Notamacropus eugenii: one gene and its partners. The protein of the gene in region 1 purifies or fractionates together with the protein of each later gene. This does not show direct contact. Links are inferred from orthologs where the notes say so. Each region holds a gene or a part of one and is shown in the gene's direction. Other genes may lie near its edges.

Evidence for each region.
Region 2: the proteins of PPP2R2A (region 1) and CDCA4 purify together in Homo sapiens (affinity purification with mass spectrometry; 4 studies listed by BioGRID and IntAct, with this or other methods). This does not show direct contact. The link is inferred for Notamacropus eugenii from reciprocal best matches to the Homo sapiens genes PPP2R2A and CDCA4.
Region 3: the proteins of PPP2R2A (region 1) and PPME1 purify together in Homo sapiens (affinity purification with mass spectrometry; 3 studies listed by BioGRID and IntAct, with this or other methods). This does not show direct contact. The link is inferred for Notamacropus eugenii from reciprocal best matches to the Homo sapiens genes PPP2R2A and PPME1.

The regions. Positions count from the first base shown.
Region 1 is NC_092872.1:744,062,642-744,072,741, forward strand, and holds the start of PPP2R2A (serine/threonine-protein phosphatase 2A 55 kDa regulatory subunit B alpha isoform), read left to right. Parts: upstream 1-5,234; 5' UTR 5,235-5,357; coding exon 5,358-5,394; exon of another isoform or gene 5,395-5,738; intron 5,739-5,985; coding exon 5,986-6,060; intron 6,061-10,100. UniProt on the Homo sapiens protein: Substrate-recognition subunit of protein phosphatase 2A (PP2A) that plays a key role in cell cycle by controlling mitosis entry and exit. Involved in chromosome clustering during late mitosis by mediating dephosphorylation of MKI67.
Region 2 is NC_092872.1:335,157,862-335,168,206, forward strand, and holds the start of CDCA4 (cell division cycle-associated protein 4), read left to right. Parts: upstream 1-6,114; 5' UTR 6,115-6,289; intron 6,290-6,375; exon of another isoform or gene 6,376-6,781; 5' UTR 6,782-8,313; coding exon 8,314-8,472; intron 8,473-10,345. UniProt on the Homo sapiens protein: May participate in the regulation of cell proliferation through the E2F/RB pathway. May be involved in molecular regulation of hematopoietic stem cells and progenitor cell lineage commitment and differentiation.
Region 3 is NC_092876.1:131,097,216-131,107,428, reverse strand, and holds the start of PPME1 (protein phosphatase methylesterase 1), read left to right. Parts: upstream 1-5,982; 5' UTR 5,983-6,596; coding exon 6,597-6,697; intron 6,698-6,940; exon of another isoform or gene 6,941-7,119; coding exon of another isoform or gene 7,120-7,181; exon of another isoform or gene 7,182-7,239; intron 7,240-10,213. Other genes in the region: C2CD3 (C2 domain-containing protein 3), read right to left, coding at 4,134-4,403, 5,781-5,835. UniProt on the Homo sapiens protein: Demethylates proteins that have been reversibly carboxymethylated. Demethylates PPP2CB (in vitro) and PPP2CA. Binding to PPP2CA displaces the manganese ion and inactivates the enzyme.

The DNA.
Region 1 (10,100 bases):
GAGAAGATTATTTGAAGTAAATACAAAGTAACAAGAGTTTTCTTTTTTTTTTGGAAGGGGGAAAGGGTAAGAGGGCCATTAGAAGTTGGGAATGGAACAGGAAAAACCTCAGATAAGAGAGGGTACAAAATCTTAGATTCAAACTAAAAATTAATTTCTTGTAGGAAAGGGATAGTTGGTGGTGGGTGATGGGCTGGGTGCAATCAGGAAATAGTTATATTTTGTTTACCCTAGAGATAGTATGAGTAGAGAACATTGAATATAGTTGAAGGGGCACTGGTGACAAACACATAGATTAAGAATACAGCTCATCTATAAAATGGGGAGAGTCTCCACCCTGTCTACCTCCTTCAACTGTTAGAACCAAATGTGATGATGACCACTATGTCATTGGAAAACACTGTGAGTCATTTTTTAGGACAGGACTGTTCTGTCTCTGAAATCTGGTTATGATCCATTATGAGTGGAGACTGGATTTGAAATAAACACCCAAGACTGAGGTTAATTGAAAAGAAAAATAAATGGATAGGAAGAGATCCTGGGAAACATTATGAGCAGAGCCAGCCAGCACAGGAACATCATAAATGGAATACCCAGGGGTACAAGGGGCTTTTCATTATTTTTTTCTGGTGCTGAATCTGCAGACAACTTAGTTTGGCTTTTCTTTCTTTCTTTCTTTTTCAGGTGAGAAGTGTTATTGCAGAAGTAGGGGAAAAAATAACCCAGCTTAAGGTGCGATTCTGCAGCTGTGCAGACTCCAGGCATTTTTTTTAACTGTTTAAAATTAGGATGAGTGAGCTCTAGAATGAAGAAGGAAGTGACGAGGAGAAGGCCGGAGCAAAGCTCGGAAGGAGGTGTAGAAGGGAGTTCAGGTGAGGGAGGGGATTATCTAATTTCTCCTAGACTTGTGTTGTAGTGGGATAGTCTGAAGCAGAAGTGCCAAACTGAAAGCCAGCTCTGCAAACACCCCCTCACCACACCCATGGGTAGGCGGCTCAAACTTCCTTATTTCTGGCCCCAGATGCCTAGTGCCTTATCCACTGGGCTATGAATGTCTTCTGAAGGTCTGATTTTCCCAGTTCTGACACAGAAGTTATTCCATATCCCTAGAGTGAGGAAATTCACCCAAATGCTCAATCACCCTCATTCTTGGCTGATTTCTTTGCCTGATTCTCTGTTTGTGACCTCTCTCTCTCTCTCTTTCTCTCTTCCCCCTTCCCCCTTCCCCCCTAGTCTGTCTCTCTCCCCTACCCTCTCTGTCTCTTCCCCATCCCCCTGTCTCCTCTTTCCCTCTGTCTCCATTTCTCCTCTCTTCCTGGGGAGCTGTGCTTGGAGTTCCAGGCACTGAGGGTTTTTGCACCACGATCCATGCTAAGTTGGAACCAACCTTGGAGGCAGCTCTTTTCTGGGCCTCTGACCTTTTACCCTCTGGTCAGCAGTGTCAGTCCAGCTCCCATCATTTCCTCCCTCTTCTAGGCTGGAACCCAGCCCCCACTTTCTAGGTGGCTGTCACAGATGCCGTTTTGTTTCTGTTTCAAAAAAAAAAAAAACAAAACAACTAATAGGAGGGACAGTAAGGTAGCCCTGAAGTCAGGAGGACCTGAGTTCAAATATGACCTCAGACACTTCCTATCAGTGTGACCCTGGGCATGTGACTTAACCCCAATTGCCTCAAAAACAAAAAATAAAAAGGTGACTACAACCTTGCTTAGTGTATTACTGGACAACTATATCAAGCTCAAATTCTACTGAAGGTGTACAACATACAAACAGGAAATTATATAGGTGTCCATCTGAAGAGGATTTTAGGGAGGGTAAGGCAAGGTTTCCCACAGGACTTGCTATCCCAGTTGCTCTGGTTCTAAATCCAATTTCTCCTTCCATAAAACCAGGCTCTGCCCCTCAGAGAACTTAGATTCTTTTCAGACATTAGCAGCACCCATGCCAGTCGCTACATCTAGCAGTCAGGATTATGGAATGATTTTAATTGAACATATCTCTCATTAGAATGGAACGTGGGCATTGTTTTGATTTTCTTTATGACCTAAGCATTTACTACTACTACTGCTACTGCTAATACTGCTGCTGCTGCTGCTACTACCACCACCACCACTGCTGCTGCTACCACCACCTCCACCTACTGCTACTACTACTACCACAGCTACTACTACACCTACTTTATACCAGGCACTTTTCAAAAGGTTTAGGAATATTACATCATTTCATCCTGACATTTTACCGATGAGGTAATAGCAAACAAAGGTTAAGTGACTTGCCCAGGGTCACACAGCTAGTAAGTGTCTCAGGCCCGATTTGGGAGGGAACGAGAGCCGTTCTTTCAGTTTTGTCTTACAAACCCTCCTTGAGGTCTAGGGCTTTTAATAGTAGGAGCTTGACAGGCTCCCAGATTTTAGAGCTGGAAGAGACCCCCTAATTCTGCAGAAGGGGGAATCGGGCTTGCAGGAGGATGAGTGACAGAGCTGGTATTCCAAGCCGGGCAGTCGTTTCCAGAACCTAGAGCTTGGAGGGACCTACGGGACCGTCTATTCCGAAGAGTTAAATTGGGCTCAGAGCGATGTGTCCGAGGAAACTTCAGATGTGAAGATGTCAGGCTAGGGGAGCTGGCCCTGGACTCAGGAAGACCCGGGTTCCGGTTCTGCCTCAGACACCTCCTTTGCGACCCTGGGCAAGTCATTGGACTCTCCCGGCTGCGTGGGTCCCCGGTGCTGGGAGCAGGGGTGGGGGTGGGGGGGTGGACAGCCAGCTGCCCCAGGCCTGGAACTGCCTGCGCTCCCTCCTCATCCTCACCTGGGGCCCGGATGGAAGTCCCAGCTAACCAGCCGCCCCCCGCAGGAAGCTCCCCCCACCCTCCTTCATGGCAGGGTCTTCGCTCCGTGGATCATCCCCAGTGCGTGCAATCTAGAGCCTGCCGCACGTTTGCGGGCCGTTTGCGAGGAGCTGCGTGCACGCGGAGTGCCCGAGGGCCTGGAAGCCTCTGGAGGGCAGGCCAACCCCCGCCCAGCTCCAGCCCGCACACCCGGCGCGGCTCGGAGCCACGCCTCTCCTCGCGAGCTGCAGCGTAGGCGGGGCAGGGGGCAGGGCTCCCGAAGGGGCGTGGCCGAGCGTGTGCGTGCGTCGGCGTCGCGAGGGGCGGTGAGGGGGAGCGCCGCACGCCGCCGGCCCCGCCTCTTCCCGCCCTCCGGGCCCCGCCCCCCAGTGACGTAAGCACCCAGGCCAGCCGGCGCCATTTTGAAAGTGGAGCCGCTCGCCGCCCGCCGCCGCCGCCGCCGCAGCCACCGGTGCCGCCGCCGGGGGGGAGAAGAAGAGCCGGGAAGCCCCGGAGCGCCGCCCCGCCCTCCCGTCCCGCCGCCCCCCGGCCCCGCCGCCCCCCGGCTCGCGCCCGCGCCCGCGCCCGCAGGGGCCCCCCGCGCCCGGGGAGGGCGGCGGCCTCGGCCCGGAGAGCCTGAGCAGCCCGGCGGGGCCTCCATCGCCCGCGCGCCATGGCAGGTGAGAGCGGGAGCGGGGCGCCCCGCGCCCCCCCTGGAGATCCCCCCGGGGGCGGGGCTCCCGCGGGCCCGACCGGCGCCGCCATCTCCGGGGCCCCGGCCCGAGGGGCCGTCCCCGCCCCTCCCCCACCCCCGCCCGGCCCGAGGGGAGGGGGAGGGGAGGAGAGAGGGGACCCCTTGGGGTGGCCTGCCCCTCCCCCGACCCCGAGCCGCGGCCCTGCCCGCGCCCGCCGCCCGGCGCGGAGGAAGAGGAAGAGCGGGAGCGGGACACGCGGGGACCCGGCCCGGAGGCACGAATGGGCGTGGGGGGCTGCTCGCCCGGCGCCCCCAGGTCCGCCCTCCCCCCGGCTCTCGGGATGGGGGGGCGCTCCTCGCACCTCTGCCTAGAGAGAGGGAGCCGAGGCACCTGAGGAGGTCCTGGGCCATTTTACAGAGGAGGAAACTGAGGCCCAGCCAGGGCCGCGAGCGTCGAGCGTGGGGGGCTTGCGGAGCCCCGGGAGGTCGCGGGCTCGGCCGACCTCGGGGACCTGCGGCCGGCAGGCTGGCCGGGAAGCGCGCCTTTGTAGCCCGGCACTCGGAGGTCACGCGTTCCTCCGGAGGTGCCCTCCCTCCGAGACGGTCCCCGCGTTGTCCGTGGTCTCCCGTGGATCCGCCGGGCCTCGTGGATGCCCGACCTGACCGCGGAGGCCGCGGAGTGGGGCGGCCCCAGAAGCTCGGAGCCCCGAAGGTGCAGAGGCTCCCGGGCGGAGGTCACGCTGCTCCAGCGCCTCTTGTGTTAGACCGAAGGAGGGGGAGGCCCGGCAAGGTCCCCTCTAAACGTGGGCCAGCCCCGGACTCGTGCCCCCGAGGGGCCCGGCCGGCCCGGCCTCCAGCCCCCGGGATTGTCAGGCCCAGAAAAGTCCCCGTCGAGATGAGCCCCCTGGTCTTGTAGATGAAGCAGTCCAAGCGTGGTGCCAAGGGTGGAAAACGAACCCAAACTTTCATCTTTGCTTGAAGGAAGGCCTGTGCCCGTGCCACTTGTGTCTCTGCCCCTCTCCCAGGGGTGGGCGTTTGGGGGGCTGGTTCATGGAGTTCAGTGGTTCTTGTGCTTATTAGTTGAGCAGTTCGCTGAGAGCCAGTGGCGGAAGAGAGAATCACAGTCTAAGAGCTGGAAAGGCAGAGTAGCCATTGATTCCAATCTGTACGAGCCTGTATTGGAAAAATGAGATTTTACCTACTGACATAGGAGGAAGAGGACTTGGTAGGTATGGGGAGCATCTTCTGTTAACGAAGAGTGGGAGTGCAGAGAGGAAAAAAAGAAAATACATTTTTTTCCCCCAGCAAATTTCCTGGGTCTGAAAGATTTCCGTCACTTAAGAGAATCAGGAATAGACCATTTAATTGTGTTACCCTTTCTCCTCCACAAGTTTTCTTCACTGTGCTTCCATCTATAGCAGTGTGAAAGACAGAAACATCACAGACTGAGCTAATTCTTTATCTCGAAATCCAGATGGATTTTTGCACTTCAGCTTGTATTTTCTATTTTTTAATGTGTTGGATTGAACTTGTGATTTTGCTAAAAAGCACGTTGCTTTTTGGCCTTGTTAATCTAGTAAAATTAAAACTGTTGCACAAGATGGTAAATTACATCTGTTGCTTGGCCCTTTGGATTCTGAGGGGTGGGGTGAAGGAAGAAAGAAACTTCCTTTTGACAGCCTCTTTAGCAGCATTCATTTCAATTACTTTTCCTGTATGTAATGAATGAGTGATTGGCTGGCAATGAAATGTAGAAAAATGGGTGGTGTTTTTGGGGGGAGGGGAAGGTGTTGGTAGCAAGGTTCAAATGAATCACCATCTTTCACAGAGCCAGAAATGTTCCTGAAGTTGTCACTTCGTGCAGTGTTTCATGGTAGTTTTAGTTTATTAACTGTAACACGGGATATTGTCTGCAGATTTAAAAAGAAAACCACTTTAAAAATGGTTTACTTTTTTGTATTGCTTTCTGATCTTTCTTAACTACATGTGATTAGCATCGTTTTTGGAGAGGAGGTGAAGATTAAAGAACAGTTTTAAGCAGAAGTGCAGTGTTAGTGATCAGCCAATGAGTTCATGCTCTTAAAAAAAACTTAATTCCAACATTAAAAAAAAACTTCGAAGACAGTTTTTTTAAGTGATGTACTTTCTCAAGGGTCCAAAGGCACAAAATTGGTCAAGAACTGTTTTAACAAACTAAGTCTCAATAACTTTTTCTTTGTAAGTAATGAGTTATGACTTTTTTTCTTGATCTTGAATCTAGATCTGATCACAGTAGCAGAAAAAATTCCTAATGATGTTCTACTACAACTTTCTCCAAGTTGGAGATTTAGGGGCACAGAGGTTCTCTGAGTGGGCAGCTGTCGCTAGTGGTGCTGTGCTGACCTTGGACACTAGCTCTCTGTTTGGGGTGGGGGAGTGAACAAAACTCAGACATGATGTTAATGGGGATTGTTTTTCCTTTTAGGAGCTGGAGGAGGAAATGATATTCAGTGGTGTTTTTCTCAGGTGAAAGGGGCAGTCGATGATGATGTAGCAGAAGGTAAGAATATTTTTTAACAATGGAAGTTGAATATAAACTAAGCTGGATATTCTTTTAAATTTTGATTCTGCAGAAATAGTTCTTGCAGATGATGGCTAGTAAAGCTGTTGGTTGTGTGAGAGCCTGGGCCAGCCTCAGGGGCTCTCTAGTTGGGGCTTGCTTGGAGGGCAGCTACCCAGAGCTCAAGGAAAACCTCTGACTCGGGCCATAAAAGCAGTCCTTTGCTCTCTATTCTGGGTGCTTTGTTTTCATCCTCCCACCCACCTGCCTTGTTAATTTAAGAAAATTCATGACTTAATGTTAAAATGAACAGTTCACACAGAACTGTAGACTTACAAAGACTTGGGAGCTCTTTGTTGTAAGTAAGCTTTTTGCTGCTTGATTTTCTTCGTGATACATTGTACTCATCTTGAAGGTTTTTTAGCTTAGACAAACAAGTGTGGAAACTGTACTTTTGAAGGTTGACTCTGTTTCATACATGTACCAGTAAAAGTTTTTTTTTCTGTAATTTTTTCTTTCTGTCATTAGAGGAAGTTTTAAATATTGCTGACTTTTTATTTGTTTTTGAAGCTAACTTTTCATATTAATGACCAACACAAGTTCTCAAAAGTAGACCTTTCAGATCCAAAGTTTTCGTTTGTCTCTGGAAAGTATGAAAGTATTTCTTTGTGTGTTATCAGAAGCTCTAATTTGATGCCTGTTTAATAGGATCTAGATGTTAGTTTTGCTACACATTTAAAATTTTTTTCTAATTAGAAATCTTATTTTTAATGAAGTGCAAGAAATTGGCAAGCCTTTTGTGTCTAGTGTGAATCATTTTCTCCTTCTCCTGTGTTCTCCCTTCACGTAAAAAGAGGGCATTAATGGACTTTCCTATATCCATATCTGCATGGTTTTTCCCAGGAGTTGTCACAGATTTGTGTTAAGCCAGCCCTGGAGCTTTTCCTCTCAAGTTGTACCAGTGGGGCATGCTTTAATGATGTGGCTGGCCAGGGTTAGGTGGAGTCCTGATCATGAAATGGATTTTTCTTTTCGGGAAGTCAGCTGGCATATATATTATTGGCACCAGGTTCATCTTAGAGTGCTTATGCTTCAAAGTGGGCTTTGCCTTCAGGGAAGCTTTTGTGGGAGAGGTGGCATTTGAAGTGGATCTTAGCAGCTTGAATGAAAGCCCTGAGCTAGGGAAGGGAAGGCTTGACCAGGAAACGTCCCTGCCTGGGAGTTGGGACTCTAAAAGGGGTGGGGTACTGTTCATTTGTGGAAGTCTTTCTGGAGCAGATTAAGGCATTAGACTATTTGGCAGGTAGTAGGGAGTTATTAGAGAGGTTTGATCTTCACAAGGAAGGCCTGTTGGAAGGGGGAGTGATGTGGGGTGGATGGGTCTATTATAATAGGTCGCACCTTTTAATAGCAGTCTGGTGTCTAAAATAAATGAATTCTCGATTTCATTTGAATTTAATCTGAGTATTACATGTGTTACGTATATAAAATATCTGTCTCTTAACCTTTAGATTGGGAGAACTGAGGACAAATGGATATTTAGAAAGCCATATCACAATATCTTGTTCTAATGCTTTATATTAAGATAAAATATGGTTTCCATTTTCCTGTTTTTCAGATGGATGCTATTTTATTTTGTGGGTGATTCTGTTTGCCAGGTTTTTGTTTTTTTTTCCCCTTCCTTAAATTAATATTATTCTTGCCTGCTGGACTTTTCATGCGAAACGATTTTGCCTCAGTTTCAGTCAACATTTTATTTTGAAAATAAAGCCGAATATCAGGCTTTTTGATGTATATGTTCTAAGGGACTGTGTTATTTGAAACGGTCATTTAGGTCTTGCTTGGGTGCTAACTCCTGTGTCAAAACAATTTGCCAGCAAAAGCAGCATCATTAAGCAAGGTCATGTTTTATATCTTTTGCTTCTTATATTGAAATTGGGTTCTAATTTTTTCTTACTCAACCTTCTGGGAATCGTGGGTTTGTTAGTAATATGTGGGGATGCCAGCTACTCGTTAGGGTTAAAATTGGGTTGATGCTGCATATGAGAAATTAAGAGGCTGTCTATTTTTGGTTCTGCACTTGCTGTGTAACCTTGGGGGAGTTTCCTCATGAATTAAATGAGGAGGTTGGAGTAGAAAATCTTTTCCACTGTCTAATACTAAATAATAATTCACATTTATGTAGGACTTTAAATTTGTACAAAAAACTAGATTTCCAAAACAATGTAAAGTAATAAAGCTTGCCTTTACTTTTCTGATAGACTTAGTGAATTAAGAGTCTCACGGTAATCTCATTTGTCACATATTTTCAAAGTGAAACCCACATACAGTTTGTGTCTTATCTAAGTCTGGGTATGTCCTCACCCTCTCATTGAACTTCTTTAGTCTCTTATTGAATTTTTTTCTGCAGAGTATTAGGGTGTGTTTTTTTTTTTTTTGAAAGGGGATAATATTTTTGCCAAGTCTCAAAACAAGTGATAATTGTGTACATAAATGCAGGAGGAAGAGTTCTTTGTTGATACACATAACCAATTACTGCTCATTGAAATAACAAGTTAAAATTTGTCACTCCCTGCTTAATGATCTCCACTGGCTCCCTATTACCACTATGTCTAAATCCAGATCTCACTGACGCCGTATCGTGTAGCTGGAATGCTCCCTCTCACCTCCTCTTCATAATAGCTTTCTTTTAAGCCTCAGCTCACATGTGACCTAGATAAAAGCTTTCCTCATTCCCCCCCCCCCCCACCTTGTATATATTTTATATAGTCTCACCATTTTCTAACCATGCTACCTTGTGGTGATGTGCCCTCCCTCTCACCCCGCCTTCAATTCCCCTTTATGTGATAGCTTCCCAAATTAGAATATAAACTCCTTGAGGGCAGATACCATCTTCTTTCTACTCGTATTTCTGTCTCCAGTTTTTAACATTGTTCCCAGGTAGTCAGAGAGCAAGCATTTATTAACGATCATATCTGTCGACTGTGTGCCAGACACAGTCAAAGAATCCCTAAACATTGGGATACAAAGCCAGGTAAAAACAATCCTTTCTCACGAAAGGAGCTCACATTATAATGGGGAAGACAATATGTGGAAAAAATTCGTGGACCAGATAAAGGCTGAGCGAATGGAGCAGGCTGGAGACAAACAGATGAGGTCTTCTTAGGACGTTGGAGCTGAGTCTTGAAGGAAGCCAGAAAGAATTGATCTCTAGGTGTGGGGAAACAGCCAGTGCAGAGGTATGAGGACTGGAGATAGGATTGTGCTTTTTGAGGAACAGCTAGTAAAATGGTGTAGCTGGATTGTGAACATGTGGAAGAAAGCAAAGTGTAGAAGGCTAGAAAGCGCTAGTTTGGGAAGGGCTTTAAATGCCAAACAGGATGTTCTATCTGATCTTACTGGTAATAGGAAACCAGTGGTTTTTATTGAGTAGGGGCTTCCAGGGTCAGAGCTCTGCTGTAGGAAAATCACAGCAACCAATTAGAAGGCTACATTTGGAGGTGAGTGGGAGCCTGCCTCAGAGTGGTGGTGGGCAATGAGGAAAGAGAAGGAAATACAGAAAAACGAGTTGGGGAGGTATGAGAGAGGCCTGGAGGATAACCCCAAGGTTGCTGGTCTGGGTGACTGGGAGGAGGAAGAGGATGCCCTTGCTTACCCTGAGGGAGTTTGGATGCAGGGAGGGTATGTAGGTGGGGGTGGGGTGGGTGGGGTTCTGTTTTGAACACGGTGAGTTTGGGGTGACTAAGTCACCTAGTTTGAAATGTCCCTGAGGCAGTTAGTGATGAGGGCCTGGAGCTCTAGAGAGAGAGGGGGGTAGGGCTGGAGTGGAAGATCTGGGAATCATCTGCATAAAGAGAGTGGAACCGAGGGGAAATGATGAGATGGGAGACCCCCTGGACTGGTGAATGTGCCAGGGATAAAGAACCATAAAAGGAAACTGAGGAGTGGACAGGTAGGAGAACCGAGAGGTGGTAGAAGGGAGAGAGTTTCTGGTGTCAAAACCTTCCAGGAGGTCAAGGAAGAGTAAGATTGAGAAAAGA
Region 2 (10,345 bases), about 410 Mb from region 1:
TATGGGTGAATGGGTCCTTTATGCTGTTTTGCATTTTCTGTGGGGTACAAATAAAGACTGCCCTGTATCCAAAAAATTTATTGTTAGATAGATGTTCACACCTTCATCTATGGAAATCTAATGCCGCCTGAGACATCCTCAGTCAGAAATCCAGTCAAGCACTTGGAATCTTGGGGTAGGCCCACTTTTGAGAACACACACCCACCCACACACACACGCACACACACACACGCACACACACACACTCTTCATAGTATGCACTGATATCCTCTAACTGCTGCTATGTCATGATGACTTGAGGTTTTGTGGTAGGTAGTGAGAAAAGCCAGAATTCCATGAATAAGCCAAAGGGGTGATTCCTGCTTCTCAGGTTTCCTCTTCCTTCTGGCTTCAAAGAGCAAGAAAGAATTTCTGAGCTGTCAAGAGGGTTGGAGGGAGGTGGGCTATGCTTCCTCTCAACTGGCTACAGGTTATGAGCTCATGGCTTCCTGGTAAGCCTGTGGCTAGGACTGGGCTGTCTCCCCTTGTTTATTAATTTCTTTGGCACACTGACCTGTGAGGTCTCAAAAGGCAGCTGGAATCTTCCCTACCCAGGCAGCTGAGAAACAATCGGTACCACATTTGGTCAACATGTGGCCAAAGCAAATACACCAAAAATGAGAGCCATTTTGGAGGGAGAGGGACCACCAAAAGGAAACATTACATGCTCAATGGAGGTAAAATGTAATAAGTCAATCAATTAACAAGAAATTAACAAGAAACATTGCACTTCGTGATTAGTTTATGTTCAATGGAAGTAAAATGTAATGAGTCAACCAATTAACAAGTTAAGTACTTACTAGCTGCCAGGCATAGCCCAAGTGCTAGGGTAGAAGCACAAGGAAGGAAACCAATCCTACTTGCTAGGAGCTTACATTTTAATGAGGAAGACAGTGAATAATTAGAAGTCCTCTCAAAGAACAAGAACAAGAATTGGACCTGTGACTATGGTGGTACAGGGAACTCTCAGGTGAGGAAACTCCCTTCTGACATTCGAATGGCAGATCTGACTCCTTCTCCGCAACTTAGGGACACAGAGACAGGATGTGTCAGAGGTGAGACTTAAACTGGTCTTTCTAGCTTTGAGGCTAGTTGTCTATCCACTATACTATTGACAAGAAAAAGCACTGGCACTGAAGAAAGAGGGCCTCAGTTGAAATCCTACTTGTCTCTCGTACTTATTGCTTGTGTGACTTTGGGTAATAAGCAACATTCTTGGGTCTTAGTTCCTCATTTGAATTACATGGGCTTTTCACAAAGAAACTGAATGTGTCCTAACAAGGCTTAAACATTAGCCTCTCAAGTGACTGAACTAGTAGGGATAAGTTACTTAATTCTGTTCTAAACATTCTTTCATTCCTTATTGCTTAGCATTCCTTTTCCTGTGTGAGAAAAAAACTACCTGTTCCATATTTGATTCATGTTGAGTACTTGGGTACTTCCTTTAGTTCTCCCTTTTTTGGGAGAAGATCCTAGATTAGAGCCAAATTTTTGTTCCTCGGGAATCTGAGGTGAGGTTGAAAAGAAGCATTGAGGAGCCTAATTACTCTACTGAGAAAATCAGCAAGCCTGGAACAATGAATCCTGGGCAAACTTCAAGGTATTGACTCCAGATGCCAGATTCTATGGCCTCAGCCAAGCCGTACCTGGCAAGCACTGGTGCCAGAATAGAGAGGAACTACAAATTCTGAGATTCCCAGGGGAAATTCTGGGAGGTGGCAAATGAGCCAGACAAGTTTTTGTTTATTTTATATTTCAATAAGCCCCTCAAATTGAGGCTAGTTAAAGAAACCCAGGGCTCAGGCTACAGGTTTCACAAATGTTAGTTAAATCTGAATGTATAAGCACAGAATTCAAACACTCTACCTTTACTTGGGCCAAATATTGTTGGCAAGTTAACATTCAGACCAAATTTTGATCATCTAGATAAAATACTTGAAGTAATTGGTCCAAAAACACATAGATCTTAGAGACATAGGGACTGAAGAGTGGCAACTAGCTACACTGGGAACTGAACAGATCAAACTGGATTGTATTTGACATACTTTCAATGATCCCAAACTTCTCCAAGACTCAAGAGCCTATCTTTAAATTCCATTATTTTCTGGATTATACTATATGGCTACAAATCATGTACTGAGATGTAAAGATAAGAGATATTTCACACAATCATGATATGAGGAAACCCCATCACTAAAGGTAGGTTTAAGAAGCAGAGAATTTGCAGCTTCCCTTTCAAATAGGATAATCAGTAAGTCATCCCAGCTGCAGTAAATACCAGCTGGTCTATAGTTTTAAAATGTAAAAGAATAATTTGCATATCATACAAATGATGTCCCCTCCTACCTTACAGGAAAATCTCCAAATATAGCTATCTCTTTTTCCCATTAAGATTTTATCTCTATTAGAGCTTCACAAGACCCAAAAGAAAAACAGACTCACATTGTAGTTACAATATGTTTACACTAAAAAATGGACATACAGAGTAAAAAAAATTACACCTGGGGAAAAAAAGATTATTCAACTGTCACCATCATTTCCCTGCAATCTGCACACCAAGCTTTCTCCTCTCTATTTATCTCTCTACCAGGATCTTGGATTCTACTTCTAAATCTACCTGGGCTTGGATAAGCAAGTTTCTACCTTGTCTTGCCTCCAGATCCAAGCCTCTACCTCATAATGTGACACTAGTTTCATAACCTCCCCCATTCGCTTTCCATCTCCCATCTAATTACTGTCTTTTTCCTATCATAAGCATCCTGAGGCCTGGTACTGTCTTCATTGTTGGCATTTGTAACTCTAGTTTTTCACAATGTCCCAGAAACATAGAAAGCACCTAGTATATACTTAATATATAATACTTAGTATCAAATAATATGTGCTTAATAATACACAATATATAACATTCTTAATGAAACACTTGATCTCTCTCTCACTTTCTCTCACATGGGAGACTGCTTCTTCCCAAGTGGACTGCTTTGCAGCTTTTTATGTGCATTTATGGGGCAGCTAGGTGGTGCAGTGGATAGAGCACCAGTGCAGGAGTCAGAAGGACCTGAGTTCAAATCTTATCTCAGATACTTGACACTCACTAGCTGTGTGACCTTGGGCAAGTCACTTAACCCCAAATGCCTCATCCTGGTGAATATCTGGTCACTGGATTCAGATGGCTCTGGAGGAGAAGTGAGGCTGGTGACCTGCACAGCCCTCCCTCACTCAAAACAAAGTCAAGTGTCATTATTTCTTGGAATCTTGGGGTAGGCCCATTTCTGAGAACACACATGCATACACACACAGATACATTTATAATCTGCCTCCTCACCCTCCAAACTGAAGATACAGAAAAGAAAGAAAAAACCTTATTCTAAAGATACATGGTCCAGCAAAACAAATTCTCACCTTCACTATGTTCCAAAATGCATGTCGCATCTCCCTGGCAGGAGGTAAGTGCAATGTTTCATCTTCAGTCCTTTGGACTCATGGTTTATGATTGCAATGATCATAGTTCTAAAGCCTTCAAAGGTGTTTTTTTCTCTATCATGTTGTCATTATATAAATTGTTCTTAATTTTTGATCACTTCACTGTTCATCATTTCATAGAAGTCTTCCTAGTGTCTTCTGAAGTTGTCCATTTAAGATACAACATAGAGCATAATTCTTTAGTCATTCCCAAAAGGAGGGTACCGCGCCCATCCCAGTTCCCAGTTTTGAGTGACAAAAGAAAACAATTGTTACAAATATTTTTGGACATTTATATCCTTTTACTTTATCTTTGATCTATATCCTACATGACAGTGTAGACTAAGTAGTAATATAGCTGAATCAAAAGTCATAGGCTGCTGATTTTTGTAGTGTATTTCAAAATTCACAGTGCAAAGTGCACATGTTGTATGTTCAGAACCAAGGCTGCAGTGAAATTGAGAGATGCACTGGGGCAAATGCTGCCAGAAACACCTCAGATCCATTACTCGTTTGATTTTGAATTAATTTTTGGTCAGTGTGTTTAGAAACCTTTCACTGTTGCCAAATTTATGAAGACTCTCCCATTCATTTACTGGATCCCATAGGAGGTGTTGACCCACAGTTTAATAAGCGCTGCCCTAGAGGAAGATCGTACCAAGGAGATTGAGGAAAGGAGGAGAATGTAGCCAGGACAGTCTGGCAGAGAACTAAAGAACTGAGGAATTGTGAGACTGGAGGGCATTCATGGTGTGGGGTTAAAAAGCAGAGGTGAAATGACAACAGACCGTGATCAGATAAGGGAATGTCAGAGTTTATGATCATGAAAGTGGTGCCATTTGTGGGTGGAGAGCAAGACCAAGGGTATGATCATCTTTGTGTGTGGCTGAGGTGAGATGGAGGAGCACACTATGTGAAATAAGCTGAGGGACTAAAATGTCAGGATGTCTGAGGGAGCATCAAATATATATATTTTTAAAGTCTCCTAGGATCAATGCAGGAGAATGGGATGCAAGAAAGACCAAGTCAGGCACTGAGCTTACCGAAGAAACAAGGAGACTAGTCCAGGAGTTTGGCAAACAATTGCTAGGATTTTAATTAGGTAATGGATGTGCACTGAGTGAGTGATGAAGGAAGGGGAGCCATAGGTTTGAGGAAGGATGAAAAAGTGAACCTCGAAGAAGAGAAATGACTTACTAAGGGATGATGGCAGGGACAATAAGTATTCCAACTTCCCATCACCTTGACTGGTGAATCAGGAGGAAGGAGTGAAAAGTGCAACCATGGCTGAAAAGAAAGGCTGTGTGTCATCAGGAGGTAACCAGGTATCAATGACAGTGGGAAACTGGGATTAGTAGGAAAGGAAAAATTTTAAGATGGAAGCAAAGTTTGTTGCTGTGGAGCAGGCATTCCAGGTAGCACAGCAGAAGTGGTAAGGTAGATTTAAAGTTGGACACTGAGATGGGAAAGGATGAATTGAAGGGAATGAGAAATCAGGGATCAGGAAGGAGAAAGGAGTCTGAGAACCAGGGAGGAGATATTGGGGGGAAGTTTGTAATCATTGGATTTTAGATTTTCCTAAGGATTTGGCCTTGATGGTGTGATGTCCTCTCAAGAACTTAAGTAGTTCAGGTGAGGGTATAAGTAAGGGCTGGGAGCTAAAGACAATGGTACTCCCCTTCCCCTAGGGCATCAAAGGTGGAGATTTAATGGAACACTCTGGTTCTTGGTGCTCAATGGAAGGGTCTTTTCCCTCTTCCTGAAGGAGGCAGACCGAAGCAGATGGAATGGCATCCTTAGTGTTCAAGGCAACAATGTTCCTCCTTTTCCCAGTGAGCCCAGAGTAGGAGACTAGGATATTTTCTCACTTTACTCCCAGGCAGTAGACTGGTGCGTGATGGACAGGACAGGTCTGCAGACTGCCACACTGCAAGCAGCAGGCTAGATTAAAGAAAAGACAAGGGCCAAGGGCTGGAGGAGGTGTCACCTGCGTTGGAGAAAGGGGTGCACGAGTTCACAGAAAACCTTTACCATTTTTTGCAGAAATCCAGAGAAGGTTAGTAACTGTAACATGACTATATGCATTTTTTCGGGGAATCTCCAACACATCTGTGAGGGGTATTATCCCTCTTTTCCAGACGAGGCAACTGGCGCTCCGAAAAGCCCGGGGACCTGTCCGCCGTTTCACAGCTTCACGTCGTCCTAATGCCAGGTCCAGGATTCTATGCATCACGCCACGCTGCCACCCCAGCGCGGGCAGCGCGGCCACCGGTCCATTCAACCGCCGCAGCCGTCCGGCCCACGGCTTGGACAAGCCAGAGCAGGTCCCCGGAACCCCGCCAGGGGAGGAGCTGGGCAGCGCGTCCGCGCTGGGCAGCCCGAGCACACAGCCGCCTACCAGCCTTAAAACCAGGAGAGCGGGAACTACAACCCCCTCCGTACCCTCCCCCACGCCCTCGGGATTTGAAGTCAGGAGACTCCCCCGCCTCCCAACTCTGGGTTCTCAGCCAGTCAGAGGCCGCGGCAGCGCCGCGGTCACCATGGTTACTCTTTGTGGGAGGTGAATGGTGGAGGCGCTGGCGGGGACCGTCACTCAGCGCCAGGCTCCGCCCCCGGGATCCTCCCTCCCGGTCGCTCCTCCCCTTTCCTTCCTCGAGGGCCGCGCCTTGCTTTCCTTCCCCGGGCGCTGCGAGAAGTCGGAGCTGGAGCGGGTTTGGGAGCTCAAGCTGTGAGTAAACTGGGGCCCCCGAGTTGGAGCCCGGAGCCAGAACGGCGGCCGAGGCGGCTTCAGGTGAGCTTGGCCTCTGCGGGGGCAGGACGCTCCGCCCCGGGTTGGGTGTGTGTACGGGGTCGGGGGTTATGGGGCACCCCGGTGATGGGGGCTGCCGCCACTGGAGGGGGCGGAGGCCGGTCCGGGAAATCAAAATGGCTCCCGCGGCTCGGCTCCCCCTCCCCCCGCGGCCTCCTCCTGCCCTTCCCCTCCCCCCTCTCTCTTCTCCCCTTTCCCTTCCTGGGCTTCTTAGGCCCTGAACCCGGGGCGGGAAGCCCCGGCGCCTCCGCCTGGCCTTTGTGTGTGGCCGAGCCCCGAGCCGCCGGCCTTGGCGGCACAAAGACGCCCGCTCCGGCCCGGGTCCTGCGGCCCGCGCTCGGCCCCCGCCTTTCCCGCCCGCTCCCGCGCTGTGCTCGCTCCTCCCGGGCCCCGGGGGCCGAGGCGCCTGCCGCGGACCGGCTCTTTCCTAGCTAATCCCCCTCTTTCTTTTTTTCTTTTCCTACTTGCTCGTAGATCGATCTCTCTCATCTCGTCGCTCTTTGCCATCCCTCTTTCTTGCCCCCTCCCCTATATATATGTGCGTGTAGCCCACCTAGCCCAGCCGAGAAGGCCCCTCCTCGTAGCCGAGGCGCACGGCGGCGCCACTTTCAAATGGATCCCCGGGGCCGCCTCCGCGGCCGAACCAACTTCCCGCTGTGGAGGAGGAAGCGTACTTTGAGTAATGGAAAGTCACTTCTACCAACCATTGTAACTCCATCCAGAGCCGCTGGTGACGTCTTAAATCGCTAGTGCCAAGGTCGAGTTGGTTTATTAGCGTTGCGAGATTTCTTCCCAAAATGCAACGAATGACTCGTGGAAATACGTGATTGAGGGGAGTGGGGTGGGGAGATGTGGAGGGGTGATGATGGTGGTGGTGGTGGTGGTGGAGGTGGAGGGAGAGGGTGGTGGTTGTGGATGGAGGGTGGTGGTGGTGAGAGTGCCTAAGGTGATTGGTTTTCTTTCATCTGTTGACCCTTTCCAGGTTCCCCAAACCCTTTTTGACTTCTCAGCAATAATCGTAATAGCTGGCATTTATAGCAGGCTTTAAAGTTTGCAAAGAAGGAAAGGTTTTGAAGTGTTAAAAAAGAAAAGTTATATTGGATGTTGCTAATCTCACATTCTAGGTGCCACAGGCAAAATCCTGGTATATTTCATCATTCTGTCAGTCCTTCAATGAATTTTATTAATTGGCACAGGAGTTTTTAGCCTTTATTTGGTCAATGAAAGGTATTGTATCATTTCTTGTGAAGTCAAGATAATACTTTGAAAAAAAAAAAAACAACCTTTTTGTTCCTCACAGCAGCTTTCTGTGAGTAAAGGAGGTGCTGCCACTGGGAAGCTGAAACACTTGGCCTATTGACTCAGATGGGCTTGGGGAAAAAGAAATTATCAAATCGGGACCAGAAATGGGAAGGCTGCTTCTAGGATAAGATGGTAGTTTTATTCATAACTCTCTAATACTCAGACCCTGCTGAAATTGACAGTGAAACCCACCAATCCTAAAAATAGCTTATTTGATGGTTAATTGGGGACCTATATGGACTATATTACACAACTGACTTGGATTTTAAACACTGACTTGTATATGTCATCCTACCAATCCTTCTATTCATCAAAAAAATGCCATTATGTAAGTTTTCTTCCTTGAATTCCTTGCAGAGAAAGAAATGGGTAATGTTTGCGGTGGGAAACTTGAATTTCATCTTAGCAGCACTTAGCAAAACCTCACATGGTGTGGACTGTTGCCTCTTTATTTTAGCCACTCTTTTTTAAAAGTATAAGTGATAAAACATCTTAAATTTATGGAGAATGATGATCAACCATGAAACATTTTAGTAAAAGGCGTGGCTTGCTTTCAGATGGTGACATGGTGAGTGTTCAGTTTGAGTGTTTTTAAATTTTGCTTTAAAAAAAAAAGAATTAATTACTTGAAATTTTATGGAACAGTTCTCCTTCCCCATCCTACAGTAGGAAGCAATTGCACTGTTACTATTGTGTTAGTATATATGTGGAAGTACAGATTCCACCATGAGTGGTTGAAAAATCTAGTGCTTGTACCTACTACTTCCCTTTCAGTCTTGTTTAAGCTGACCAGTCAAATGGAGACTGACGACAGGGAGGGAAATAGGATGTGGGAAGAGGACAGTTCTCACAAACATTTACTGGTAAGTAAACTTTATCTTTATTGGTCTCCACTTGCCTTGTCCTACTGTAGAAACATGTAGAAAGAGTAATTAGTGAGAGTAGGAAATTTTCCAGAAAATGGCAGTAAGGTAAATTTTCCCACTGCTTTTCTGACTAAAATGAAAGACTTAAAGGAGAAATCATCAGTCTATTGTAGTGTGTCCCAGAAAAGTATTAGACCAAAAAGAAGTTTTCTGAGTGTCACAACCAGTAGATGGATAGGTTTTTCTTTTTCTGGGAAAGTTAGACTAGTGGGAATAAATTACCATACTTTAAAAACAGGTGTGGAAACTCCCAACACCAATAGAGTCAGTAGCTTCTTTTCAATTTTAAAGTCTCGGAAAGTTCTGTAGGGCACTGAGATGTTAAGTGATTTCCTCAGAATTATACGGTCAATATGTGTCAAACAGAGGTGGAACCCTGAGTCTTAGCTTTAAAGCCCATAGTTCCTCTATACCATTGTGCCGCATTGCCCCTCAGAGGTTAAAAAAAATTTTTTTATATTAGCTATATTTTTTTGTTTTATAATTTGTTTTGCTGACAGTTACTATCAACATTACTTTTAAGATGTAGCACTGAAATCAACATTTATTTACATGATCTTATATTTAGAGAAAAACTAGAAGCCTCTAGTGTCACATGTGGGAGAAGCTGGGGGGATTAATTCAGTTGCTGTGATTTTTCTTATTTTGATAAAAGAGTGGTAAGTTTTGTCATTTTCCAGATAATATTGCATTTGCCTCAACTTTCAGTAAAAATATGCTTATTAAGTGGGTTCTATTTCAACCTTTATCCTATTAAATGAGTAAATGAATTTTCATTTCTTGGTAAGTAACCAGAGTGGTTGGATCTTTTAAGACTCTATTATGATTTACTTGCAAAATTCAAGTTCAGAAATCAGATACTGGTGTTTCAGTAGGTCAACCATCATTAGTATAGGTAATCCAAAAGCTAGTAGCTTTTGATTTGGGAGTATTTTAAGTCATGTTTTATTTAGGGAAAAAAAAAAAAGCCTTAATTCCTGATATCAATTGATAGACAACCTATAGCTATGGATCAACATCCCACAAGTGGCTAACTCACCTTTTTTATGGCTAGTGATTGTTGCTTGGATTCTACCTCTGGAGTAGATTTTTGAGAATAAAATGCCACTTAAATAATATTAATATGAGATAATAATTGTAAAATGCTTGGACATAGCGTCTAGCACATAGTTAGTGCTATAAAATAAGCATTAGCTATTGCTGTAAACAAATAAGACATAGCCCCTTCGTGGAGTTTAGGTAGAATGTGATATAGAGTATTATGGATTCAAAGCAAATAATGTAAGATTTTTTCACTTCTCTATGTACATCCCTTTTTAATCATGTAATCAGCTGCTAGTCTTCATGCTGCTTTTCCCCTCTCCCCTCTTCAGTACCCTACCCAGGCCTGCCCTAGCTTCCCCAAGTAATCCTTGCTACAAAGATACAAACTTCAACCCCCAAAACAATTCTTATTTTTGTAAGTTTCTAAGTTTTCTCAGGTAAGTATTAGGAAAGAGTCTGAACTAAGACATAGTAAAGTGTGAATGAAAAATCCTCAACCACCCCATCAATACCACATCTTCATTTATTAAAAAGACTGCTCCAACTGATAGAATTTCAGACAGTGACAAGGTGTAAAGAAAAATTCGGGAAGTATATGAGGAACTAATTACCAGACTTTATAAATGATATATACATTGGATCACCTAGTACATATCTCTATTTTTTTATATGACCTTTGGATGCATACATAGATGTTGAATGTATATTATACAGTATATATGGATTTTGGGTTCATAATAGTATATAGGTACTTGGAACTATCTGA
Region 3 (10,213 bases), on another chromosome or scaffold:
CTGCCCTGATATTTTAGAACCAGAGGGTAAAATAGAAATTGAAAGAATCTACTGATCACCTCCTGAAAGAGATCCCAAAACAAAAACTCCCAGGAACATTACAGACAAATTTCAGAGCTCCCAGGTCAAGGAGAAAATATTGCAAACAGTCAAAATGAAGCAATTCATATATCATGGAGCCACAGTGAGGATAACATGAGATTTGGCAATTTCTATATTAAAGGCTTGGAATACAATATTCCAGACGACAAAGGAGGTAGGATTACAACCAAGAATCACCCACTCAACAAAACTGAGTATAATCCTTCAGGGGAAAAACATGGACATTCAATAAAATTGAGGATTTTCAAGTATTCCTGATGAAAAATCCAGAACTGAATAGAAAAATCTGACTTTCACATAAAAGACTCAAAAGAGGTATAAAAAAATAAACAGGAAAAAGAAATCATAAGGGATTCAATAACGTTAAACTGTTTACATTCCTATATGAGAAAATGAAATATGAGAAAAACTCTCTAATTATTAGGGAAGTTAGAAGGAGTATGCAGAGGACATGGGTTTGAGTTACATATGATGGGATGATTATTTGAAAAAATAAAATTAAGAGGTGAGAAAGAAGATGTCCTGGGAGAAGGGTAAAGGGAGAGGCAGAATGGGGTAAATTATCGAACACAAAAGCAGCCTGAAAGAGATTTTAGAGTGAAGGAAGTGGGGACGGAAAGGAGGGAGAGGCTGGTAAAAAGGAGTGCAGATGAGAGAGGTAAAAGTCAAAAGCAAAACACTTTTGAGAATGGACCAGGTGAAAGGAGAGAGAGAGCAGGATAAACAGGAGGCAAATGGAATGGAGGGAAATAGTAATCGATATTGTGAAAAAAAATTTTTTACAGTGACTTTCTCTGATAAAGACCTCATTTCTCAAATACATAGAAAACTGAGCCAAATTTATAGAAATAAGAGCCACTCCTCAACTGACAAATGGTCAAAGGATATGAATAGGCAGTTTTCAAAGTAATCAGGTATTTATAGTTATATGAAAAAAATTTTCTAAATCACTACTGATTAGAGAAATGCAAATTGAAACAACTCTCAGCTACTACCACACACCTCTCAGGCTGGCTGCTATGACAAAAAAGGAAAATGATAAATGTTGAAAGGGATGTGGGAAAATTAAAACACTAATGTTCTGGTGATGAAGTATACTGATTTAACTACTATGGAGAGCAATTTGGAACTATGCCCAAAGGGTTATAATACCATGCATATTCCGTGACCTAGCAATATCACTATTAGGTCTGTATTCCAAAGAGATAAAAAACAAAAATATATACAAAAATATTTATAGCAGCTCTTACAGTGGTGGAAAAGAATTGGAAGTTGAAGGGATGTCCATCAGTTGGGGAATGGCTGAAGAAGTTGCCTTATGTGACTATAGTGGAATACTATTGTGCTATAACAAACGACCCGCAGTATGCTCTCAGAAAAACCTGCAAAGAACTGATGCAAAGTGAAATGAGCAAAACCAGGAGAACACTGTACACAGTAACAGCAATATTGTGAGATGATCTACTATGAACAACTTAGCTATTTTCAACAATACAATGACCTAAAATGATTTTGAAAATACGATGCAATGCACTGTCCATCTTCAGAGAAAGAGCTGGTAGATGCCTGAAAGCAGAATGAAAATAGTTTTTTTTACTTGCAGTCGGTTTTCTGGTCTATGTTTTCTTTCAAAGCATGACTTACAGGGAAATGTGTTTTGCATGATTGCACATGTATAACCTATGTCAGGTTGCTTGCTTTTTCAATAAAGGGTAAGAAGAGGGAGGAAGAGAATTTGGAACTCAAAATTTGAAAAGAGGAAGGTTGAAACTGTTTTTACATGTAATTGGACAAAAACCAAAAAATTAAATTGGAAAAAATAATCGAAGGTAATGCTAAATTTCAGTTAGAGATTAGTGAGAGACTAGGAATAGAAAGAAGAAACTTTGCTAATACCAAGTATACTATGTCTGTGGCATTGTTGATTTTACAGTGTAGTAATGCTGTCAAAAAAGAAAAAAAAGGAGTTTGGTATGACCTACTCTCAGACATGATAATCAATACATCCCTTTAAGTATCACACCTTTAAGCCTATAGTTTGAAGACTCCATCCTCCTCCCTTTTTTGAAAACCAGTACAATTGCCTTCCAGGTCTGCAGTACTGCTATTTTCCAAAAAATATTTTCAAAAAAATTTCTGGAAACAAAAGAAGATCAGGATGGACCCAAGAATAAAGTATTGGAAAAGAAATGCGTTTTATGATTACTTTCGTCCCCTGAGACAGTGTAGTCTAATGGACAGGAAGGTCTGGGTTCAAGTTACAAATTGGGCAGAAAGTAGCATCTCCAGACAAACCTCTTGGCACTACAGAAAACTCTCCAAGACAGTAGATCTCCCAAGAAAAGTGTTGACCTGCCTCAGCAAAACAAATAGCAGTAGTGCTACCACTGTTGCGCTGTAGTACTGGACGGCTGCCTACTATACTAATGAAATCACAAGTCAAGACCAAAAATAGGATATGAGTCCACAGAACATTATTTTCTCCCCTTCCTCAATGAAGCCACAAATAAGCAGCTCAGAAATCCCAGCCAGACCCTGCCTCCATATCCTCTTCTGTTTAACTTGCTCAGAGTGCAATGAGTCCAAGGCAATAGCCTTGGTGGGGAATGTGGGGAAACCCACTTTCTAACTCTTTCTCAATAGTTGCCAACTAGGGAATCCAGATGACTGATGCACAGCTCTAGTCTGAGGAAGGAAAGTTAAAATACTCTAAACCCAAAGTAATATCGATCCATTCAAGATGGAAATCCCTTATTAGAACACATCTTAGAGGTAAATTTTCTCATCTCTGTGATCTTAGGGTGGATCAGATAACCTCTGAAGTCCCTTCCTGCTCTAATACTCTACTATCCTATGATAACCTTCCACCTATAAGAATTTGTGTTCTTAGCCAACATTGTCATTTTACAGATGAGAAAACAGGTCCCCAGAGGACTTGCCCATAGTCATACAAATCCAGGGATAACATTTGCCAGTACAATAGGAATTAGCCAAACTATTGTTACTCCACCCAAAACACAGGAATTTCAGCACTTTCTGCCACTATAATCTTGTGTATAATCTGTGTAGGCCACAGATGGTGGGGGTGGCCTACACAGGTGGGGGAACCTGTGGCCTCCTAGGTCCTTAAGTGCAGCCCTTTTGACTAAATCCAAAATTCACAGAACAAAGCTCCTTAATAAAAGGATTTGTTCCATAAAACATAGACTCAGTCAAAAAGCTATACTCAAGGACCTAAGAAGGTCACATGTGGCCTTGAGGCCACAGGATCCCCACCCCTGGTATAGGCACATAACTGTGTCAGGGAAATATATAAGATAGGTTTCATAAACTTAAGTTAGGGACAAAATATACTCCAGATTTTAGGGGTGAGTTTCTCTCTACTCTTTCCCCAGCCCTCATATGGAGAATGCATTTGATTAAAATGCTTAACCTCAATGAAAAATACTTCATTGGATCTAGGAAAAGTACTCCATAATAGAACACATATCACAACTCCTCCACATTTTCATCTCATGCATGTCTTTCTTCAAATCCTTCCTCCATAAAGGATGTGCCCAATGGTTTAGAGGTCTTCTTGTAGACTTAACACTGTTTTATGCGTATCAATGCAGCACTCAGGCTATTCATTCTTATTCCTTACTCTCACCACATGATGAGACTTCCTCCTCCAGTCAGTCATGTCTTTCATGATTCTGTTTACACCGTTTCTGGCATAGCTTCAAAGACTGTGAATAGTATGTCGCAATCTATTTATAACTGTCATACATTCTTCCCTTGCCTCTTGGGCACAACAAAAAAAAGTCCTGTTTATAATACTTTTTTAAATAAACACTTAGGAAGTTCCTACTTAGTATAAAGTACTGTGGTAGGTACTTTGGGAGACAGAAGGTTTAGGTAAGCCAACTCTTATCTCATGAAAATTATATTCTAGTAAAGAGACATACATGTAAACAGAAAATAAGCAAATGTATAAAACAAACTGCCAGGGTGAACGACTAAGAGGGAAAGTTTGGATGAGATAAGCATACCTGTTAGATAAGAGGTAAACTGCTTTGGTCCACAACGAATAGGATAACGGGTTGTTGTTCTCACAGCTTTTTGTTCAATCAGGGAAGCATCCCTGGGACAAAATATTGTTCCATCGGATGTCTCCCCCCACCACCTCACTCGGATGAGAACAGGAGTTGGAGGCTTCATAACCATCCAGAGTATTTTATTAATGGTTAGTCTCAGAAAACATCGCAGCTGACCTTCAACCAGAGGTGGTAGACTCGTGGATGGTGAAATATCACTTAGACCTGTGTAAAAGGAAAGGAATGATAAATCAGAATTTGGAGTAGGTAAGCAAGTAAGACACTATGTAACAACTGGAGAACCTTTATTTCTGCCAGCAACTGCCCTAATACAGAAAAAAGAACACTGTATTTGAGAGTCAGAAGATCTGTGTTCAAGTATCAACTTCATCACTGGGGCAAGCCCCTGAATTTCCTCTTTGGCTTATTACCCATACAATCTAAGGGAGTTAGGTGAGATGATTTCCCAGGTTCCTTCCAGTATTAACATAGGAACAATGGTGGAAGTTCCAGAGAAGCAGATTTGGGTCCAATGTAAAAAAAAGGACAACAACAATAAATCTTTACGAAAATTAAAGCTGTTCCAAAGTGCACCAGGCTGCCCCACAAGGGTAGAAGTTTCTCATCCCTGGACACAGTTAAGTGAAAGTCAGATAATTACTTGTTGGGAATGCTGCAGGGGCGATTCCCATTCAGGTAGGTATGTCTGTTGGCTTAGAAAACCTCTGAAGCTTCCACCAACTCTGAAAAGTTGTGATTCTACAGAGGGCTTTATGGTACTAATCCTGGCAACTTCCAATTTAAATCTCTATTACTGAAATCCCTTCTCAGGATAACACTGTAGAGTCAAGAAGTTATTTTTACACTCTCTAGACTTTTCTGTGTCAAATTCAATAACCATTTATTAATTTTCTATTCTATGCTGGAGAAAAAAGACAAGTTCAAAGCAATCTTTGAGAAGCCATCTGCACAGATGAGTGACTTGTGAGGGGTAGAGTGGAGGTGACCAAACATTCCCTTGCAGACCCTCAAGACTGCTTCTCCCCACACCCTCCAACAGTCACGCTCTACAAGGTAAAGCTGTCTTTTGACTAGAATCCTTCTTTCTGACATCTCTGTAGGTTCGCATTTCTGGCTTTCTAAAGGAACTCCTTCCGGCCTTTTCTAGTTAACAGGGCATATACAGACGTGTCCATCAGACAACTCAGACTCAAAGAGCTGTCAGAAGGACAGGAATGACTGAACAGCCGTGAAGCCGGGCCCGGAGGCTGACTTTTCGGGCTTTTTCCCTCTTTACTCCCCTCGCCCCCGCCCCTTAAGGATGCCGTTCTCTCTCTCAAATTTCCTTAGGGGTGCCCCATTTCCCGCGTTTCCTGACCTGACCCGAGGGTCGGAGGCACCCCTCGTATCTGCCCAAGTTTGTCTTTCCCATCTTCCTCCCTCTCTGGGTCCCCCTTCTTCCCTGGGAGCCCCCGCGTCCCTTCCTTTCCTTCCAACCTCTCTTAGGCATCCCTCTGCACCCCTCCTCACGACCCGGGGTTCCACGTTCTCCCCGGGGCGGCCCCGCGTTGGGCGCCCTCCCCCCACCCCAGCCGGGGTTACCTTTCTTCTTGCGGCTGCTGCCGCCTCCAGCGGCCGGGCCCTTTCGCTGTTTCATGGCGAGGCGGTGCTTTCAGTCCTTGAGGCGCCGGCGCCGGAGCCGCTGACCCCCAACAGCCCCCTTGCCGCGTCCCCCTCCGCCAGGGCGGCTGGAGCGTCCCGCCAAGGCAGACGCAGCCGCTCCGCGCGCGCGTTCCCTCGCAACCGTCGCCGCCGCAGGGCCTCCTGGGAAACTCAGGGAAGCCACAGGCGGCCGTCTCTCTCTTACCAAAAGTCTTAGCTCTCGAGGTCGGGTAAGGAAGGCGAGTCAGGGCTGGTTCTTCCCAGAACTACAAAGCCCAGGATGCATTGCGACCCGCTCTCTTTATGGTAACGGGATCCGTACTCCGGTGGACACCGCCTCTCCTTCATCCCGGCTCACATGAGCTAATGCGCCGGCGTAGCACCGACGGTTCCCGGAGGACTCCATTGGCTACGCGGACCCCGCCCTCTCGCGTCGGGCTCGTGCGCCACTTTGCTACCCAGGCTCCTCCGCAGGAGATCGGTTGCGCACTTCCGGCCAGGTCGCTGAGGAGACGAGGGCCGAGGAGTGGCTAGGCTAGGCGACAAGGGGAGGGGTTTGGGCGCTAGTGGGCGGGAGGAGGTGCCGCCGGCGTCCAGAGGCTGTCTGAGGGCTACTGAGAGGCAAGCAAGCTGAGTCCTGCAGTCGCTTAGGCTTCCGTCTAAGTCGACTCGTCCCAGAGGCGACGCTCGGGCACGACACGGCCCGGGACGGGACACGCGGCGGCCTCGGCCTCCCTCCTGCTTTCCTCTCCTTTCATGTCGGCTTTAGAGAAGACCATGCACTTGGGCCGCCTGCCCTCCCGCCCCCCCCTGCCGGGCGGCGGGGGCGGCCAGAGCGGAGCCAAATTGCGCATGGGGTACGTGCCTCCCTTCGCTCCGCACCAGGGCTGGGCCCGAGTTGGGCCCCAAAAGAGAGCTAGGTCTCCTGGGATGAGGGGACGGTTGGGAGAGGAGGGCGACCCGAGGGGGCTGTAGGTGGGAGGGGTGGGTGAGAGAGACTGGGGGAGGGGCTACTCGTGGGGACTGGGGGGGGGTGACCCGAGGGGGCGTTGGGGAAGGGACGGGTGATGGGAGGCTCCTGTCCACGGAAGGGAAGGGGCGGGGTACGTGGGAATGGGGCGGGGGGAGGAGGGAAGCCGAACGAGGAGGGGAGGCCAGTGTTAACCGATGAGGGTGAGGGGCTCGGGGTGGGCCCGCGATGGGAAGCGAGCGGCGCCGGGGAAGAAGAGTTGGGAGCCCTGGACCAGAGTAACGAAGGAGACGTGTCGGAGAATGAAAAATGGCCATGGGAAGGTCTGAAAGGAACTTGACTCAAGTTAGAGTGCGGAGTGTGAATCTGAGGTCGGATCGGGAGGGGAGATGGCGCCGTAGTGATTGCGGGAGGAGCGGGCTTGGAAGGGTAGGTAGTGGTGGTTGGGGGGTGTGGACTCTACTAGGATAGAGTTTTGGAGAAGTGAACGAGAATAGAGTAGGTTAGGAACAAATGTTAAAAAAAAAAAATAGATGTTGAGGGCAGTGGGATACCTGATCTTGAAAATTTTTTTGGAATCATAAGACTTAAGGAAGAAAAGGTAATAAATTCTAGGAGGTTAAGGATGTGTGCTCACAATTGAACTAGTTGAGGAAAAGGGGTGGGTTAGGTATTACTAAAGAGGAATCTTGGCCTTTTCAGAATTAAAGAATTTTAGAAAGGGAAAGAAGTTTAGAGATTAATAACGATGCAGAAACTGTTATGGCCACTGTTTCTTAGGTGTTAATTTCTTATAACGACGTTTCAGACATGTGAGCTATTAAAGTTGATGTTTGGTTTATTTTTTCTTAAACTCTAGTGCTGAAATAAAAACTCAAAGGCAGACACTATTTCACCATAAGGATATTAAACATATTGAGCTTGCCACCAGTAACCAGTAATGACGTAAAGGTTAATAGATTGTATTAATATAATTATTGTTTTTTGTTACTAAAATTTTTTCCTACTTGGAAAAAAATTTCTACTCATTCTTTGAAGTCTTTGTGATTGTTTCTACCACTTCTCTTCGTCAACCTCCTATCCATCCCAGACCTTTTCTTTCTCTCTCATAAGACCTCTGGAGTGCATTTACCATTTATTTGTATCATGGTTGTATGTGTGCCATGTCTACCAGGCACATATCTCCCATAAGTTCTATGAAGGTAAAACAACCACATTGTATGTGGTATTGGTTCTCCTTCAGAATCTAGTATGACTTTTTATGTGTTGTAGGAACTTAAATGCTTATTGAATTTAATGTTTGGAAACCTTATTAGTATTGAGGGGCAGTAAAAGTGAGGGCAATAGATAAATAAAAAACAGCCAAATTTAGTTCATTTGGAATTCTGTTTTGCTTCTTTAGAGAGAAATATTAAAAGGTTCTACCTAATCTGATAAGGATTTTCAGAGATTCAAAGTTGAGAGTTCTATGAAAATTATTCTTGTCAGAAGAGATGTGCTAAAGAAACAAGAGTGCTAGACGTTGACTCAGGTGAGATCCAAGTTAGAATGCTGACTTCTGCTGTCTACAAGCATTTATTAAGCCCTTACTACGAGCTAAGCAGCGTGTTTAAACACTTGGGATAAAAAGGGCAAAAGCTATGTTCTTTCTCTCAACGAGCTCACATTCTTATGAGGAAAACAACTTGCAAATAACTCTGTGCATACAAGACATAATGTGTTAATAGAAGATAGTCTTAGAGGAAAGGCTTCTTGCAGAATATGGGATTGGAGCTGAGTCTTGAAGGAAGCCAGAGAAACTTTCACTGGTTTTATCCCTGGACAAATCATTTAAACCTCTCTGAAGTTCAGATTCTTTATCTGTAAAATGTGGATAATTCTTGAATCCTATCTAACAGACAAACTTTACATATCTGAAAGCACTGTATAAATGTGAGCTGCTAATTTATTCTTAGCCTGTTGTACTTCAGAATGTTATCACTGCTTTTTGAAATAAGAATTAGCTTTTTAGTAACTCCTGGCCATTGATTTCAGCAAGCAGAAACAGCACTATTATATTACTTGTACAGTCAGGAAAACAGAAATGGAAGTGTAATTTGCCCCAGGTCACAGATTGAGTTAGGAATAGAATCAAAGGCTTTGCTCCTACTTTTTCTATGGTTACCAATTACTTTAACTTCATTCCCAGTACCTTAGAACAAGATTGCTCTACCTAATGGCTTTAATGCTGTGATTTGTGTAGCCTAATCTTTTCAAATGGTGGTCAAACAAATAGAATAATCTTTCATGTACAAATTGTTCTATTAAATTAGCTGAAATGTTACTTTCTTGAGTCCTTGGTAATTTAATAACTGAACTCTATTGAATTAGACCTGTAAATACAGAAGGGTACATTGATAGGATATTTTGCAGGGAAGTTTATAACTCAATTACCAAAAAAAAAAAAAAAATTCTTGGTGTTAGCCTAGAAGTAATTTAAAGATTTTCCTTTTCTGGTTAAGGATAACTATAAAACTTTAGACCCAAAACAACAGCAAATACGATTATACAATGTGTCTGTTTTGTTCCATGGAATTGCTTTTTAGTAGTCTTTATACAATGTTTTCTTATCTTTATTGTCAGTGTTTGAGTGTTCAATTGGTATGTTATAATATATTAGATGTCCTGTATCCCACTCACCCCGCAAACACTTTTTGGCGTCCTGAAGGGCTGAAGCCCCCTAGCAGTTGCCTCTGTACTAAAGCCACACGCTTGAATAACCAAGATAATGCCTAAGGTGCACCTCTTATTCACTTCTTTTAAAAAAAAAATTAAAAATAATTCTTAGCAAGCCTAGTTATTTGATGATAGCAAAATTGGACAGTAGGCATGTATTATAGAGGCAAGCACCATGACAGCTCATGGTGTAAAATGGAAAAAAGAGACAGAAAAACTAAAGTATACACAAGACTATACTACAAAATTATCTGATGATGGATGTTCACATGATAACACAGAATCATCAAGAATGGTTTGAATTATACCCAATAACACTTTTTAAGAAAACAGAAAATATGTGATAAATTTGTAAAGATTTCTTCACAAAATACTTAAGGAACAAACTTGAGCCACCTGGTTGTTCTAATTATCTGGAGCATACGCTAATGTTTTTCCCAAGTTGTGTATAAATGCAACATTGCTTTCTTCTACAAGGGTGAGGGGAATTAAAATGGAATTTCATAGTGACTTTGATGATTAGCCTGGTGCCCAAAGAACAAGATCTCTTAGGTCAGAAGAAAAACTAGTTGAGTATTAGATGTTTATTACTGAATAAATTTGAAGTTCAAGGCTTTTCTTGGCAAGTCTATATTAGAGATTGATATTTTGTACATGATTCTTATAATTATTACAAAAATAATTTTCA